2 linked regions of the Pelodiscus sinensis genome follow. The protein of the gene in region 1 interacts with the protein of each later gene in a biochemical or structural test. Links are inferred from orthologs where the notes say so. Each region holds a gene or a part of one and is shown on either strand. Other genes may lie near its edges.

What was found. The genes of interacting proteins can lie anywhere in the genome.
Region 2: the proteins of GLI3 (region 1) and ZIC3 form a complex in vitro, tested with the Homo sapiens proteins (2 studies listed by BioGRID). The link is inferred for Pelodiscus sinensis from reciprocal best matches to the Homo sapiens genes GLI3 and ZIC3.

Annotation. Positions count from the first base shown.
Region 1 is NC_134712.1:165,508,212-165,516,040, reverse strand, and holds the start of GLI3 (transcriptional activator GLI3), read right to left. Parts: upstream 3,008-7,829; 5' UTR 2,878-3,007; intron 2,623-2,877; exon of another isoform or gene 2,336-2,622; coding exon of another isoform or gene 2,290-2,335; intron 1,065-2,289; exon of another isoform or gene 970-1,064; intron 1-969. UniProt on the Homo sapiens protein: Has a dual function as a transcriptional activator and a repressor of the sonic hedgehog (Shh) pathway, and plays a role in limb development.
Region 2 is NC_134723.1:35,733,517-35,741,292, reverse strand, and holds the start of ZIC3 (zinc finger protein ZIC 3), read right to left. Parts: upstream 3,007-7,776; 5' UTR 2,730-3,006; coding exon 1,682-2,729; intron 556-1,681; coding exon 392-555; intron 1-391. UniProt on the Homo sapiens protein: Acts as a transcriptional activator. Required in the earliest stages in both axial midline development and left-right (LR) asymmetry specification. Binds to the minimal GLI-consensus sequence 5'-GGGTGGTC-3'.

The DNA.
Region 1 (7,829 bases):
CAGTTTTATTTCCTTTACTGCTTTTTTTTAAAGAACAGTATGTACTAAAACAGTGCCTTTTCCTCACACATTAGATTTCTCAACCACATGATCTTTAGTGTAAAAGAAATGATATTTCAATTAAAAGTAGCCTTGTCAAACAAATAATGTTATTTAATGTTTGCTTTAAATTTGAATGTAGTCTAACCAACTAAATGTATTTATGTACTAGCTTGTTAAGCCTTACATTTCACTCCATAAACCAATTATGAGGCTACATCATTCAGTTTACATTGTTAAATTCATTCACCATTACTTTTAATATAATCCCTCAACAGAAATCCTGTGATATATTTTAATGAACTATTTTTTTTCATTTTTATGTTACCCATCTTTGAAAACATAGCATTTTTCTTCCTTCAAAATAATCTTGACATATGTAATTAAGAAACTGTCAGCTCATTATTAATTTTTAATAAAGGACCTAAATGAAATAATTATAGGAATCAATCAGAGAGGTACCTTTCAAAATTACAAAGCAATTGCACAAATATTCAAAATATGTTAAGGCCCGTTCGTTCCTGTGGATTTCTGTCCATAATCTCCCAAAATACTGAACCATAAAGAGTTGTATAACACAAAGAACTGTAATGGTTTCTAAGTATTAAAGAGACTTAAATTGTTCCCATATAGATACATATATATCAGGCATATAGACACAGACAGTGAGAGACTCTGGCGCCGTCTTAAAAAGGTTTGTTAATTTAATTAGCCACATATTTCAAAGGCTTTGAACCATATTTATATTTGAGTTCTTCTGTGATCCAACATAAATGAAGTTAAATAAGCATGATGAAACTTCAAAATAAAAAAAATACCCTTTATTAACCCTGGAAAATAAAGTGTGGCGCATGGCATGCATTACTAGCTAGCACTCCCCTGCTTAATGAGAGTTTAAACATTATATACCAAGTGGACAACCATCCATACCTTTGACTAAAAAGGCGCTTTTACTTTGAGATCCATACAGTCCATCATGTCAAACAGAAGTGGCAGCTGGAAAATGTGGAACAGCTGGCAAAGAGCTGAGAGAAAATGTTTTACATAAATATATCTACATATAAACTGGCAGAAGGCCACAAACACTGGACCCAAAGGACCAGCTCAAAACTATACACCAGAGGGTTAAAAAATGGAGGGGCAGTGGAGGGGATTTCCTTTCACCTTTTCTTTTCACGTGGTGCCTGGACTTGGAAGCTGCACATTTGTGTGTGTGTGTGTGTGTGTGTGTGTTTATATCAGCTGGGTTGGAAGAAGAGCAACTGTGTAAACAACCTAAGTTTACAGGCTAATTAAAACAACAGCGTATCCACTTTCCTAAAGCTTTAAAGTTATTTGCTATAAGAACACGCAGAAGTTCTAGTACGGACCAAATCCTATATGTGTTTTCTTCCTCTTCTCCATACCCCCTCCCCTCCAAAAAAGCCGAGACAGTAACTGTCGGGAGCGATTCATACTCAACCCTTCCCCCGTAATATTTTTCTTCATACATAGCAGGGAAGGGGGGGGGGGGTCGGAAAGAGGAAGAGAGGGAGGGGGAGTTGTAGAGGGTGTACAGAGCTCAGCAGTTTGGTATATGCAGCTTCCCAAGTTACCCAAGTTCCAAAGGCAGCAGTCACAACAAAATCACACAGAAAGGGCATAACTTTCACTCTGCCTCCGTTATGAATGAACGGGGCGCCTCATCCTACCTCCAAACCTTCCCCTGAAACGCCACCAGGTTAATCAAAACATAATAGAAAACGAACCGCCTTTTTCTCTCCCCAAAACTAACACTTAAAGTGTTCCCTCTCCCCCCAGCGAATCCTTGCACTTCTCCAGACAGGACGGGGTGTTTGCTACAGCAACAAAGTTGCAGCCAAAGAAACTGGCACGCAAAATAACAAGCAGCTTCTTTTGGGAAGAAAGCAGCTGCTGCATGCAAATCTGCAGTTCAACGGTGGGACAGTAAGCCTCAAAATCCTTTCGGAGTGCAGTAGGGCACAGAGAGAGAGGGGCCGGGGAGAGAGTACTTGCATATTGTTGCATACTTTTTTTTGTTTTGCTTAAAGTTAAGGACAGTTTGACAGCCATTTTTGGGGGTAGATCTCAGATCGCCTCCCTCTCCCCTCCCGTCCGAGTTAAAAAGAGAGCGCGCGAATGAGCTCGGAAATGAAAATACAGTGCCCCCCAACCCTCTGGCTTCTCGGCACACACTGCGCACAGCCCCGTAAACAAAGAAGAACTTCTTGCAAAACTCAGTCCACATACCTGCTGCGGCTGCCGCTGCTTCTGCCAAGCCCCCCAAACTTCCCATAGGCAAGGTTGGGTTGCTGGAGCTCCCCCGCACCGTGCCTGCAAGAGGGGATCTCTCTTTCTCTCTCCTCTGGCAAAGCTTAACAGGACCGACCCCAAAGGATGAAAGCGGGCATTTTGCTTCTGGGATTTTTTTTTGCGGGGGGGGGGGGGGAGGGAAGCGGCTTGGGAGAGAAGAGGCCGGGCTGCGTGTGTGTGTTTGTATTGGTGCTTGTTTTATTCCTGCCCTCCTCCCTGCAGGAGAGAGAAGGAGCGAAGCCCGCTCCGTTTGTGTGCGCGCGGATCCGACATCAGTTTCAGTGATCTTGTAATCTGATCCCTTCTGACTCACTCGCCCGGACTGACATTTCTGATTTGGTTCAACAAAGGCGCGGGGAAGAGGCGGGGGAGAGAATCTACCAGGCTGGAGCAAAAACTTGCATCGGAAGTCCCCTCCATCCCCCCTCCCCCCCCCAAAAAAAACCCCATGTCAATCGCACCGCAGCTTTTCTTTTTAAGTCCACCCAAGGAGGGCCATAAAAACACCCCTGCTCCGATACTCACGTGTTGGAAAAGTTGTCCCTTCTGCCTTCCTCTCTGCCTCGCTCCTTTCCTCCTCCTCCTCCTTCGAGTCCAAGTTTTACAGATGTTGCTGGACTCTTCTCCACCACCAACCCCGCCTCCCCCCTCTCCCTTTCAATTCTCCACTCTGCACCAGAGGAAGGGGAATGACCTTCGGGGGAAAGAGGCAACTTTGGGGCTCCCCCACCACCCCCTGCCGGGCGGGTCGGGGACACTCAACTTTTTGGCGCGGGGAAAAGGGTCCCCCCTTTGGATTTGCCTGCTGGAAGGGCTACAAACGCGAGGGTCACCCGCTCCCCTCCGCCTGGCCACTGGGGAACGTGGGATTCCTTCGCGGAGGAGACCGGAGCGACCGAAGTCAGCAGGGGGCATGTGGGGCGGGTGTGCTGATCAGTGCTGGGTGAATGAGAAGCCGGGAGCAGCACAAACACGCGCTCTCAATCTTATGTCCCCTCTTCTCCTCCCTCCTTTTACTTTAGCCTCCCCCCCCCCCCCCAAAAAAAAAACCTTCGGCTTCAGCTCAGACACCAGGAGGCCACACCCATAGCTGGGAGGGAAGGGGAGAATCTGGTTTGGTGCCTTCACTCAGCCACTTCCCCCTTCCTTCACTCTGGCATCAGGTTCTCTCTCTTTTTCATCTTCCTCTCTACCTTCTGTTACGCTGTCTGCTTCCCTTCCCACCCTTCAGTCTGTGCACAGCTCTCAGTCCGGGTCAGAAAGGCTCACTTGTTTGCCTTTCCTATTCTTTTTTATCTGGCCCTCACATTTTACCCTCTCTTTCCCACTGTCTTCACACCTTCTCAGAGCATTCAAAACTCATGGGTTTAACCTCCACAAGAGAATTAAGGGTTTAAAAAACAACAACAAATTTGAGGCGTTCTCTGTATTTACTTTTTGGCATTTGGGCCTTCGGGATTCACATTCACAGGCTTAGCTCTACTCTCACATAGCCTGGAAACTTTTTCAATTGAAATTGAGAGTCTCCAGAAATCACATGACTCTGGCACCTGGAGCTGCAAGAAAAAATATCAAAGCTCATAAGAATTGGAAATACTGCCTCCTTCTCCTGTATTGGTCCTTTTCTCCCTGTAAAAACCCGCTTTTGAACTTTTTGTCCCACTTTTCTTTAGTTTTTCTCCCCAGACTAGGACTAAATGTATACATCATGATGTATACCAAATGATATAGTCCAATACTTAGCCTTTCATCTGCTCCTTTTGCCATAATCTGATTACCAACTGATTCAACAGATTCACTCTTGATTAGATCTTGATTCAGCAAGATGCTTAAGGACACAACGAGTCTCACTGAAGTCAGTGTTAAAGCTAGGCATATGCTTAAGTGCTAAGAATGCCAAGCCAATAAAAATCTCAATTAATCATTCAATTAAAAATTAATCACGATTAACTGTGTAGTTAAAATTTAATCACGATTAATTGTGCACTTAATCATGCTCTTAAACAATAATAGAATACCATTCATATAGAATGTTTGGATGTCTTCCATGTTTTTAAATACATTGATGTGAATTATAACACTATACAAAGTGTATGGTGATGACTTTATATTATTATAAATATTTGCACTGTAAATATAAAAGAAATAGTATTTTTCAGTATATTTAATACAAGCACTCTCTTTATTCTGAAAGTTGAAGTTACAAATGTAGAATTATATACAAAAATAATCTGCATTCAAAAATAAAACAATGTTAATATATAGCACCTACAAGTGCACTCAGTCCTACTTCTTACTCAGCCAATTGCTCAAACAAATTTGTTTAAATTTGGAAAAAGATAATGCAGTCTGCTTTTTGTTACAATATCACCTGCAAGTGAGAACAGGCATTCACATGCCCTTACGTTTCTAGTAGTTATGACTTCTTTGTTGTGATGTGGGAAAAATTCAGTTGCCACATGACACTATAATGGTAATAATGTGACATATGACAGGTAAGAAATGCTGCTAGAAGCCTATTTTAATCACTCTTTTTTTTTACACGCTTTAGAATTTTTTATATTTTAAAATTGAACAAAGTCAAATTAAGCTCTAATAAATTAAAATTAATTAAGAGTCTTTGCAGATTCTACATGTGTCTTTTAACTATCCATGTCATTTTTTGGTGGTTTTATAATCACATTTTCCTGTAAATAATGTTTTTCTCTCCCCTGTTTCTACATGAAATATCCTCAGAAGCCAAAGGGGAAACTGATTAACTATCCACAAAGTACTATCAAACAAAGAGAAACTAATGAGAAAAATGTGCTTTATCTAATCTCAGGCCTAGTAATCTGAGATGTTAGTTGTAACAATAGCCAGTAAAAATATTGAGACAAATATATTTTAAATTGAGGGTGTGCAGTGCTTAATATCTAATTAAAAAGATGCTGGGGCTCAAGCAAATAGATTCAGGGGCTCCAAAAGGTTTTGTTTTGTTTTTGTTATTTTAATTCATAACTGATGCAACAAATCCAGTGGTGCCAGGTTCTGAACTGCCAAGCCTAGCGGTGCACAGGCAATCTCTGGCACACATTAAGCAATGAGGGTGTCTTTTTAAATCACAGCTCCTCTTGAAAACAATAGTTGACTTCTGAACTAGTTGGACTCATCTTTACTGTAAATCTGAACAATTTCTTATGCCACAAAATAATATTTCATCTTTTACTATGCTCACCCACACTGAGTATTTTCAAAGCATCTCTCTCAGCTTCCCCAAACCCTTGCTCCCTCAAATCACAAGTGCTCTCTCATTAAGACAACTAAGAAATTAAAAAACTTAAAAGGAATCTGAGTGTTTTGACTTCTGCTTATGAAAAAAGAGACTTCTGATACATCTCCGAGACTTGAAAATATTGAAGGAAGAGGAGTAACAAAGAAACAACCAGGCTTTCTGCCTTTGCCTCTTTGAATAGGTCACACTGAGCAAAAAAAGGGGAAAAAATGAAGGCGAGGGGGTGACATTTGCTATTTGAAATGTATTGTAAATGTTTCAACACCTTGACAATGAAATACCTAACAGAAGCTTAGGACATCCAAGGCCCTTCAGCTAAACAAAATGAAAATGGGCAGATTTGTTTAAGGAGGTTCCTTCTTGAAGATTTTTCACTTTTGTTTTAGAGAATTCATACTTTAAAGAAGTAGTGGCAAGATAAAAATATTATATTAATAAGAAATCATTACTAAGGGGTTGCATTACCCTATTGATAAAACCTGCACTGAGAAATTCATCCATATGATTCCTTCAGGAGCAAGTGTTGCCTCATGCAGATTAGGTCAGTGGGTCAATGTTAACTTCCATCTCTGTGCCATCAGTGCCAACCACTTCTTGGTAATAAGGCGCCATTAGAACTCAGGGCTGCCACCAAGTATCTAGTTTTGTGAAAAACTCAAACATTCAGAAGTGCATCAAAAGCTGCCTTCCTTCTTGCTGCTCCCCCTGTTGGATCAAGGCAGGACATAGAAGCCAAGAGAAGCAAGGCACTATGGCAGCAAAGGCTGAAGATGAGAGTCCCAGTTGTAACCTCAGGCTCTTTTACACCCACACATTTTGCTGCACCAGAATCCTCTTCCCACCCTCTCCCCATTCCAAACCCTGAATATACTGACTATAACCCATCTCCCAGGGACCCTCTAACTTTCAGAAGTGCCTCACCTGCCATCCAAGTGTTCCAAGTAACTGTTAACCATTCAAGAGTTCCCAGCACCTCTCTCCTTTTCATCAAGCACCTGCTCCCTAGCAATTCCAACACTACGTTAGCAGTTAGCAATGGAAGTTCAAAAATCAGAAGGCAGACCAAAAAACAATTTTTTAATGTCACGATTTCTGAACCATTCTGATTTTCTGACTCACGATTTTTTAACTTTTGGGGGTAGACAATAAAGTATTGCTCACTCTTTTAGTGCGGGTTGCATGATATTTGATGCTTTTCTAAAAGACCCAGCTCTTGAAATTCTGTGATTAGATGAGAATCTCAGCTTTCATTTAAATAAAAATACATTTCTCACATTCATATTTCTAGGTCAAAGCTTGAAAGTGTGGTCTAAGCACACCCTAAAAGCTCAAAAAGCAGTAAACATATAAAAAGAACTCCAAACATTATTTGTTTTGTCTCATACTTTTAAACTAGTCTTGTGACTGGGGAGAGAGGGTTACTCATGATTTTTAACCACAGTGGGTTGGCAATACCATGAATGTGAGAAAGAGAGAGCCACATATAGTGGAATATTTCAGATAATTAAAATTACAAGAATTACACAAGTCTAAGTTAATTTCCACAAGGTAATTTATTTATTTTTATTTTATGCATTTCACTAAACTTCTAAGGGTCAATGTGATTGTTAGGTTCAGTTTCACTTTCTCAAATTCCTTTGCTTGCAAAAAGTGGCTCTGTGTCAGTTCCCAGCACTACTGATAAATGTTTATTTTTTAAAAAATGTAAGTATTGTCTCACTTATTTTTAATGTAATGAAAACATTTTTGCCTTAATAAAGTTTTCTAAAATCTATTTTGGGGACTGGAATGACTTGATGGTATCCCTTAAGCCATGGCTACTCAGCTTTGGAAAACCCAGAGGCCACAGTGATACAGCACATGTCGAGGGCTACTACTTACATGTGGTTGCATATACATGGCAAGACTACACAACATGCAAGCCCCATTTAACTTAGTTCTGCTGATATTAATGAAATGCAATATTTACCCAATTTCTACCCATATGACAGCACATTCAATGAGCAATAACAGTCCAGGAATGTAACAACTAAAATGCATACCAACAGAAGACCATTATATTGACTACTTTTTGTTTTGGCTCCCACCTGCGGGCCATGTGTTGAGCCCTGTGTAAACCCAAACTGCAACGTGGGTCGCAAACAAACAGGCCATAAGCCGCATTTGGCCCACGAGCCACATGTTGAGTAGTCCTGCCTTAAGC
Region 2 (7,776 bases), on another chromosome or scaffold:
AATGTTTTAAGAACATTCCAATAATTTCCTCCTCGTTTGCAGCTACATATCACTCACTCAAGAACGGTTTTAAACCGTCTTTCTATCCCGTCTGTGGAACAAGAAAATAAATAATGCAATTTATCCAAACGATTGTTGTTACTGAAAGGGCCTAGCTATTAATTACAGCTAGAACTGCGGAGAAGGTGTGAAAAGGGACAGTTCCACTAGTCATTTTCATCAATCGGAGAGGAGTGCAAACTGCTGTAATACAAATCTTTCAGAGTGGATGAACTGTGTCATCCTAAAGCTGCATCGATCGTTGCACAAATGTAGTTTAACAAGGGGGAAGGAGAGGGGAGAACAGGCTTCGAATTTATTGAGCCAGAAAAGCGATCAAGAGTTAAATTACCTTCATGTGTTTCCTAAGAGAGCTGGGATGGGTGTAAGACTTGTCACACACTTTACAGATATAAGGCTTGTCTGAAGTGTGTACATGCATGTGCTTCTTTCTGTCACTACTGTTCGCAAAGCGTCTATCACAGCCTTCGAATTCACACTTAAAAGGTTTCTCACCTGCAAAATTCAGAAAGGGTTAAAGGACACTACAGAGGAAAGGTTCATTTCGATTCCCCGTTAGCGGATCGATCGCTTTGGCAACTCGCTTACAACAATTACTTTGATGCAGAGGGTGAGAGACTCTCTCTTGGCTTTCGTCCGTAGTCTCACAAACACTTTTCTTCCAATGTCAGCGGAAATACACCAAGCATCAAAACTTTTATTTCTCTTTTTTATTATTTCCCTTCCGCACCTTCCTTTACCAAGCTTCTACCGGTGGAGATAGTATGCACACACACACATCCATACACACACAAAAAGATCAGACAATAGGATTTGTTACGTTACAGTTAAATTCTATCCGTCCTTTGTTACTTTTAATTTGCCTCTTTCAAATGCAACGGTTGTGCTAGGCGAAGTGTTAAAGGCAGACTACCAGTACTTGATGTTAGGATGGGGAGGGCGGAGGGGTACCTACATAAATTCGAGAGCACCACACAGCAGTTTTACAAGATGTAGCCAACAAGACAAGAAAACGTGTGGGTTTCCTGCCTTTCCTAGTTTTACTTTACTTTTGTGGCGCTCTGAATTGAAGACAGAAGCTCCAAATAAAAATACTTTGACAAAAGTATCACTGATTTAATTAGGAGATGTGCCAATCAAGACTAAAAAAGAACGGAAGTAACCGAAAATTAGATTTAATTAGCATTTGTATAGTTTCCTTAACAGAATGTATGCAGACAGCTAAATCGTTTGTAAAGCAATCCACGCTCAATTTTTTTGCTTTGCCTCATTATAAACCCCAAAAAAGAGCCAATAAAAAAAAATCGGACGAAATCTTCAGTCTAGCTAGGTTATGGAGAAATGAGCGATTGGTATCGCTGAGTGAAATTAACACGCTCGTGGAACAGGCGGAGGTTAAAACGACTTAAACCCCCCGAGTGAGAAGTTTTCAAGAACGACAAAGAATACGGCATTTGCCTCCAAGCTCGGGGAGAAGGAACATTTTTCGCCAGTTCTCCAAGGGGCTTGGATCTCACACGATGGTATCGATTGGAAGGGGGGGGATAGTAGGGGGTTTCTTTCCTTCCCACTGTTGAATCATTCACACGCCCCGTTACTTATTTTCCCCCTCTCTCCTTACCTGTATGCGTCCTTTTGTGGATCTTCAGATTCTCGGACCGGGCAAAGATTTTCCCACAGCCTGGGAACGGGCACGGGAAGGGCTTTTCTCCCGTGTGAACGCGAATGTGGTTCACCAGTTTGTATTTCGCCTTGAAAGACTTGCCTTCCCTCGGACACTCCTCCCAGTAGCAGATGTGGTTGTTCTGCTCCGGGCCCCCGACATGCTCCATCGTCACATGGGTGACCAGTTCGTGCATGGTGCTGAAAGTCCGGTCGCAGCTCTTTTTGGGCCGGCTCAGCTGGGTCTCCTCGACCCACTTGCAGGACAGCTCTTGCTTGATGGGCTGGCGCATGTAGCGGAAGAAAGCCCCCGGGCCGTGGTGGTGATGGGCCGCCACGTTCATGCCCATATTCACGTTCATGGGGGCATAGTTGTGGAACTGGGCGCTGGCGTACGGGTCCGTGCGGGGGCTGGAGACGGCCCGGTAGGGGTCCGGCCGCCCGAAAAGATCCCCCCGCAGCCCCAGGTGCATCTGCCCGTTCTCCACGGGCCCGCCGGGGGAGGAATGGCTGGGGCTCTGCTCGTGCAGCCCGGGGAAGAGCAGGTAGCCGGGGCTCTCCGCGATGCCCGGCGGCCCATGCAGGCTGCCGGGGGAGCCGCCGAAGATGCCGTGCTGGGCGCCGCCGGAGGCGGGCTCCCCCAGGCCGGAGCCCCGCTGGCGGAAGAGAAAGTCCCGCGTGGAGTTGAAGGCGGCGGCCGCGCCCCCGTAGGCGGGCACCTGGCCGGCGTGGTGGTGGTGGTGGTGATGGTGGTGGTGGTGGTGCCCCAGCGCGTTGCCGTAGCCCGAGCCCTGCGGGGTGAACGCCGAGCTCTGGCCGGACGAGAGCTCGTGGGCGGCCGGGCTGAGCTTAAAGGCGGCCGCGTGGGAGGCGTCCCCGAAGGGGCTCAGCCCCATCCCGCCGGCGGCGGCGGCGTCGCGGCTCGGCCCCTCGTGGTGCCGCGGGGCCCCGAAGCCCCCGACGCCCAGCGCGGGGAACTGCGGCCCCCCGTCCAGCAGCATGCTCATGGGGCGGGACGGCCGCCGGGCAGCGGCGGGAGGGTCCCCCCGACACAATGGGCCGGCCGCGGGGGGAAGCGCTCCTGCCCCGCGGGCCCCACGCGCGACAGCCCCACGCGCGCCCGCCTCGGGGGGCTGCCCAGCGCCGCGGCCCCCTCCCCAGCTCGGCTGCGCCGCTCCGCGTCCGGCCCACTCGGCAGTGTCCTTGGACTGCTACACTCAATAGCGCTCTCCCCGCACATAAACCAACTCGAGAGGCAGCCCGCGCCCAGCCAATGGGGAGCCGGCTGGCGACGCGTCACCTGACCCCCGGCCGGCCAGCCCATTGGCCGGGCCGCTGGTGAGTGGCAGAGTTTCACAGGGACCCTGGCAGCTCCCGGCCCGGCCGGCTCGCTGATTGGCCCGCGCGGGTTTAGTGACTCGCAGGTAAGGGGTAAGGGGGCCCGCAGCCCACATGGTTTGTTTACTCGCGGTGCCCGCGGCGCTGGAAGCGAATTGTGCTCCAGCCTCCCCCTCCTAGCCCGCAGCGCCTGCCTCTCAGCCACCATGCGTCCCGGGTTTGCATCCCTCTACCCCCTCAGGTCTATTTACATGTCCCCACTCGGATCCCCCTTTCAGGGTGTCTTCTGCCCCCCACACACGCATACACCCCGTCTGTCTTCACCCAGGTTTTTAAAATATATTAAAAAAAAAAAAAGAAACAACTCAAACCCAAAGCGCAGCGAGACATACCGCAGGGCCAAGCGAGAGATCAAAGGACAGAGATAGCAATGGGGAGGCAACCGTTCGCTGGCTGGCGAGATCCAGCTGCTTAAAAATTGCACCTTGATTGGAAACCGTAAATCTTCCGCGCTATTAAAAAAAGAAAAGGTTTAAAAACGAATCTCCATTAAGGCAGCATAATTCAGAGCTGTTCTGCAAACGTTTACACTGGTCTCTTTTCCTTGGGGGGGGGAGGCGGGGGAAGGGGGTGGAATCAACTGAACAGCCTCGAGTTCAAAGCGATTTTATTTAGGAGTAAATTTGGTGGGCCCTGCTTATGGTTAGCTACCACACACCGTTTCTTTTTCCCCACAAGAAGATGAAAGAAATAAAAAAAAAGCATAAGAGATTATTTCAAATCTTGGGCTGAACAAGATAAAGGGCATAAACCCCTCATGTTCTTAAGCTTAAATGCCGAGGGGTTTAGCTCCACAAACAGTGTAAGTGACTCACTTTTTATCGCTATATAAATTGGTTTAGAAACGTGGAGCAAAGTCTCAATCAATGGTGCCCCTTTTTTGTTTATTTGATTGTGTTTATTTATTGATGGGTTTTATTTATTATTTTGCCGTTGCAAAGTTCTGCCTTGAAATAATTATCAGCTGCAGACAGCCCCATAAATCCGCTCATTTTCTGTTCTGGAAAGCATTTGCAAAGAACGATGGGGAGCAAGAGTGGAAATAAAAGGCAGAAAGAAAGATGGCTGTAATTGTAATATCCTGAGATTTGCTGAGCCCCAAAGTCTGTCTATTGAGCCGGTCTCACAGGACTGCCGCCGTCTCTCTGCAGGAAACATAAAATCTGATCAAGTTCAGAGACGCATTGAGAGACTGCTTCAAGCAGCGCTTTATAACTGCAGCCCTTTCACATCCTTCCCCCCAATCAGCCCCAGGAAAGACTCCACATTCTTTATTTTAGGGTTTGAAAAAAAAGCCACCGATATAAAATCTCCCTCAGTAGTAACACCATCTCCCATCAAACCAATCAAAATTCACACTCCACAGCCATCAAGAACATTCCCAAAGTTGGAAGGTGAGTCCTTTCTGTCTTAGATTATTGCATCTCGAGAGAAAAAAACCAAACAAACAACAAACCCCTCTTGCAATAGAAAAAAAATAGCAGATTTAATGCAGATTTGGAGGGAGGAGAGAGACGGGATCCTGGCTCGGAGGGAACCGCTTGCTTCGGGTTTTGTTTCACACACACAAACACACGTCAACGGGGACTGAATTTGCCTGCACGGGGCACATTCAAAGCTGAGAATCAATGTTAGGAAATAAAACGAACGAGGGGGGATTTGAAAGCTCGGAGAACTACGCAGTTGTTGTTCTTTGTTAGGTGGGATGTGGATAGATGAGGATATGCTGGAGGACTCTGGTGGGTTGGGGGGTCGTGGGAGGAAGTGTGGTAAACCCAGGCCCAGCGCAGGAACCTGCTCCGGTCTTTTCTGGTGGTTCAGACCCAGGCCCCTGGACTCCGATTCATGGCGGAGTGTCTCTCAACCGGCTCAGCAAAGAATATCTAACTTCCCCATTTCGGTGTTTTATGGCACACTGCAAACCGAAGGGATCTTTACGAGTGATGTACCTGGTCTCTTGGACAAGTCAGGGCCCAGATCGGATAATTAATTACCTCCAGCACGTGTTGTGTTGTCTCTGCAACAAAACAAGCATAATTCAATTAGATCATCCGGCGAGTATTGGGTAGAGAAATGCCTGTGAAGTTCCCGACCTGGGGCAAGGAGGGCGAATGGCCTTTTGCTTTTGCAGAAGGCCTCACGTGTGGGTCTCCTCATTGTCTTTAGCCTGAATATGATGTAAAACAACTTCCAGGCGCGCTGCTACTCAGAACGAAAACCCAAGGAGATCTCTGTCCTCGGAGGGGATTTGTGGGTTGGATGGGTGGGTTGGTTCTTTTTTGACCCAGGTGCTCTGAAAGGTTGGATGGGTACATTTATGCAGATGTCAGTTTATGAAATAACTCTGCAAAAGAAAGTGAAGTTCAGAGTCTAGTCCCTTTTGCCAGACAGCTCAATTTATTATTATTATTATTATTATTATTATTATTATTATTATTATTATTATTTTACAGAGGACCTTTTAACACGGAGGGGAGAGGGAGGGAGTCAAACTTGGCTTTCCCCAGGAAAAGCTGGGCTGAGATGGGGAAGGTTTTTGCCTATAAAAATATTAGCTCTTCAAGTGGTAAAAGCGCCACCTTTTCTCAAGAGAAGCAACACGAGCGTGGAAAGAAACCGTGGCTTTAAATGAGCTAGGATTCGCCATTTCTTGAAACTATTTTATTGCTTAGCAGAAGGCAACATTATCAGCACTGACAGGCTGGAGTCTACTTGTAGATCGGGCGACATAAATTAGCCTGTAAATCTTTGCTTTATACGTTTCCCGGTTCTACTCTGCCGGGTCTAGAGCTGTGTGTGGAATAATGAGTGTATGTATCTAAAATAGTGCAGATGGACTTGTATTTTATTTTGATTTGGTTTATATTTGAAACGAAATAGCCAGTAATTACACAAATGCCATGTAAAAGCGGGTTCTACTCTATTTTTTCCCTTTTTGCAACTAAGCCCCCATGATGGGGGGCGGGTGTGTTTTTTGACAAGTTCACGCAATAGTGGTTTTGATTCAGTGCAGCACAGAACCAGTCCAAGATTCCTCGTGTTTATTTCGCAGAGCCAGAAAGGTCAAATACCTCTCACCTTTAAATCCATTAAATATAAAAAGTGGGGGGGGGGGGGGAAAGAGCATTGTGCAGTCGTCATCCGGTGTTTTGTGTCGGAAGGAACAGACTAGGCGGAGATCAGGATTCTAGTTTTACGTCCAACGCGTGTTTGTGTAATTTGCCCCTTTGGGGGGGTTATTTTCAAATCTGGGATGGAATTGGAATTTTGACACTCTCCAAATCCGAAAGCCCCCTTCAAACAGCAAAGCGCCTTTCCTTCCTGCGAAGGATCCCTGATTTATTTCCATACAGGATTCTTTGGTTATACAGGGAGGGAGGGGTTTTCTAGCTAAATTCTTGTGCCCCCGGACACAACGTTCGCCTTGCTGTAGAATGCACACCAGACCTAGGATCGTGTGTGGTATGTGAAAATGACCAAAAGTGGTGTTTTCTTGACTATAAGTCTCATTTTCTCGCTCTTACTCCAGCACAACTCCCATTAAAGTTTCTGGGACTGTTGCCTGAGTGAAAACTGACTAGATGCTCCTCACAGTAATGTCAGGCAAAAGGCAAATTTCCCCAAGTCATTTCTTTCCCTGTAAAGATCATTTCTCTGTGGGGCTTTTCAGGTGAAGTTTCTGTATTGATCTCCCATCAGTTCTGCGCGTGCTTAAAAGCTAATCGCTGGGTTATACTGGAAGTTTATTTTTTTATGGCCGTATAAAGACTTTTTGTTTTAAAACTGCAGCCCAGATAGAAAGGCAAATATTTTACGAGCGCTAAATTCCTTTTACAATGCAGTCTATCATAGACAAATGGATATCACTAATAAGCGGAAAGGAACGTAGTTTTTCTTCTGCCATAACCATATTGCAATTCCAGTGTAATTAAATGCAAACCAGAAGCGAATGAGACATTTTCATTGTAACTGTCAATCAGTCGAGGGGTAATCACATGTACATTTGAACTTCAGAGATACCGGCTGAAGTAAACAGGTCTGAACTTCGACAAAGAAAAGGGTTCAGAAAATCAAAGTGCAGAAAGAGGCAGGAAGAAATACTTTAATGTATCAAAAATGTGGGTGGGGGGGGGAGACACGATTTGTGTTTATAAAAAAAATAGAAGTGTGTAGGAACTCGCTTGCTCCGAGGACTATAATGATTTAATTAAATTGAATACATGTCTGGGATGAATTGTATGCTAGATCCTAGATAATCAAAAGCGATAGTAAGGTGAGCAAATGTCTCTAATAAGCATACAGAGATCGCTAAACTGCTAGAGTGATGCTTGGGAAGAACAGTGGGGAGATACTGCAAATAAAAGTAGTGGGGAATTCTTGTTTGTTTGCAATATCTTTTCCTGTATTTGGCTTCTCTGGGCAAAGTTTAGGTTCTGTTTTAATTCACGAAGGAACAAACCCGGGTTAAAATAACTGGGGGTTCAGTAGGGTTGGGAAATCTGCAGGCTATTTTTCAATTTTACTGAATACCAAAATTAATACATAAATAACCCCAAGGGTTCTTCTTTCCTTTCCAAAACCAGAGCTCTCAAAGCCAGAATAATTCATAACATACAGTCGGATTCAGTCAGAGAATCCCAGGCCACTTTCTTTCTC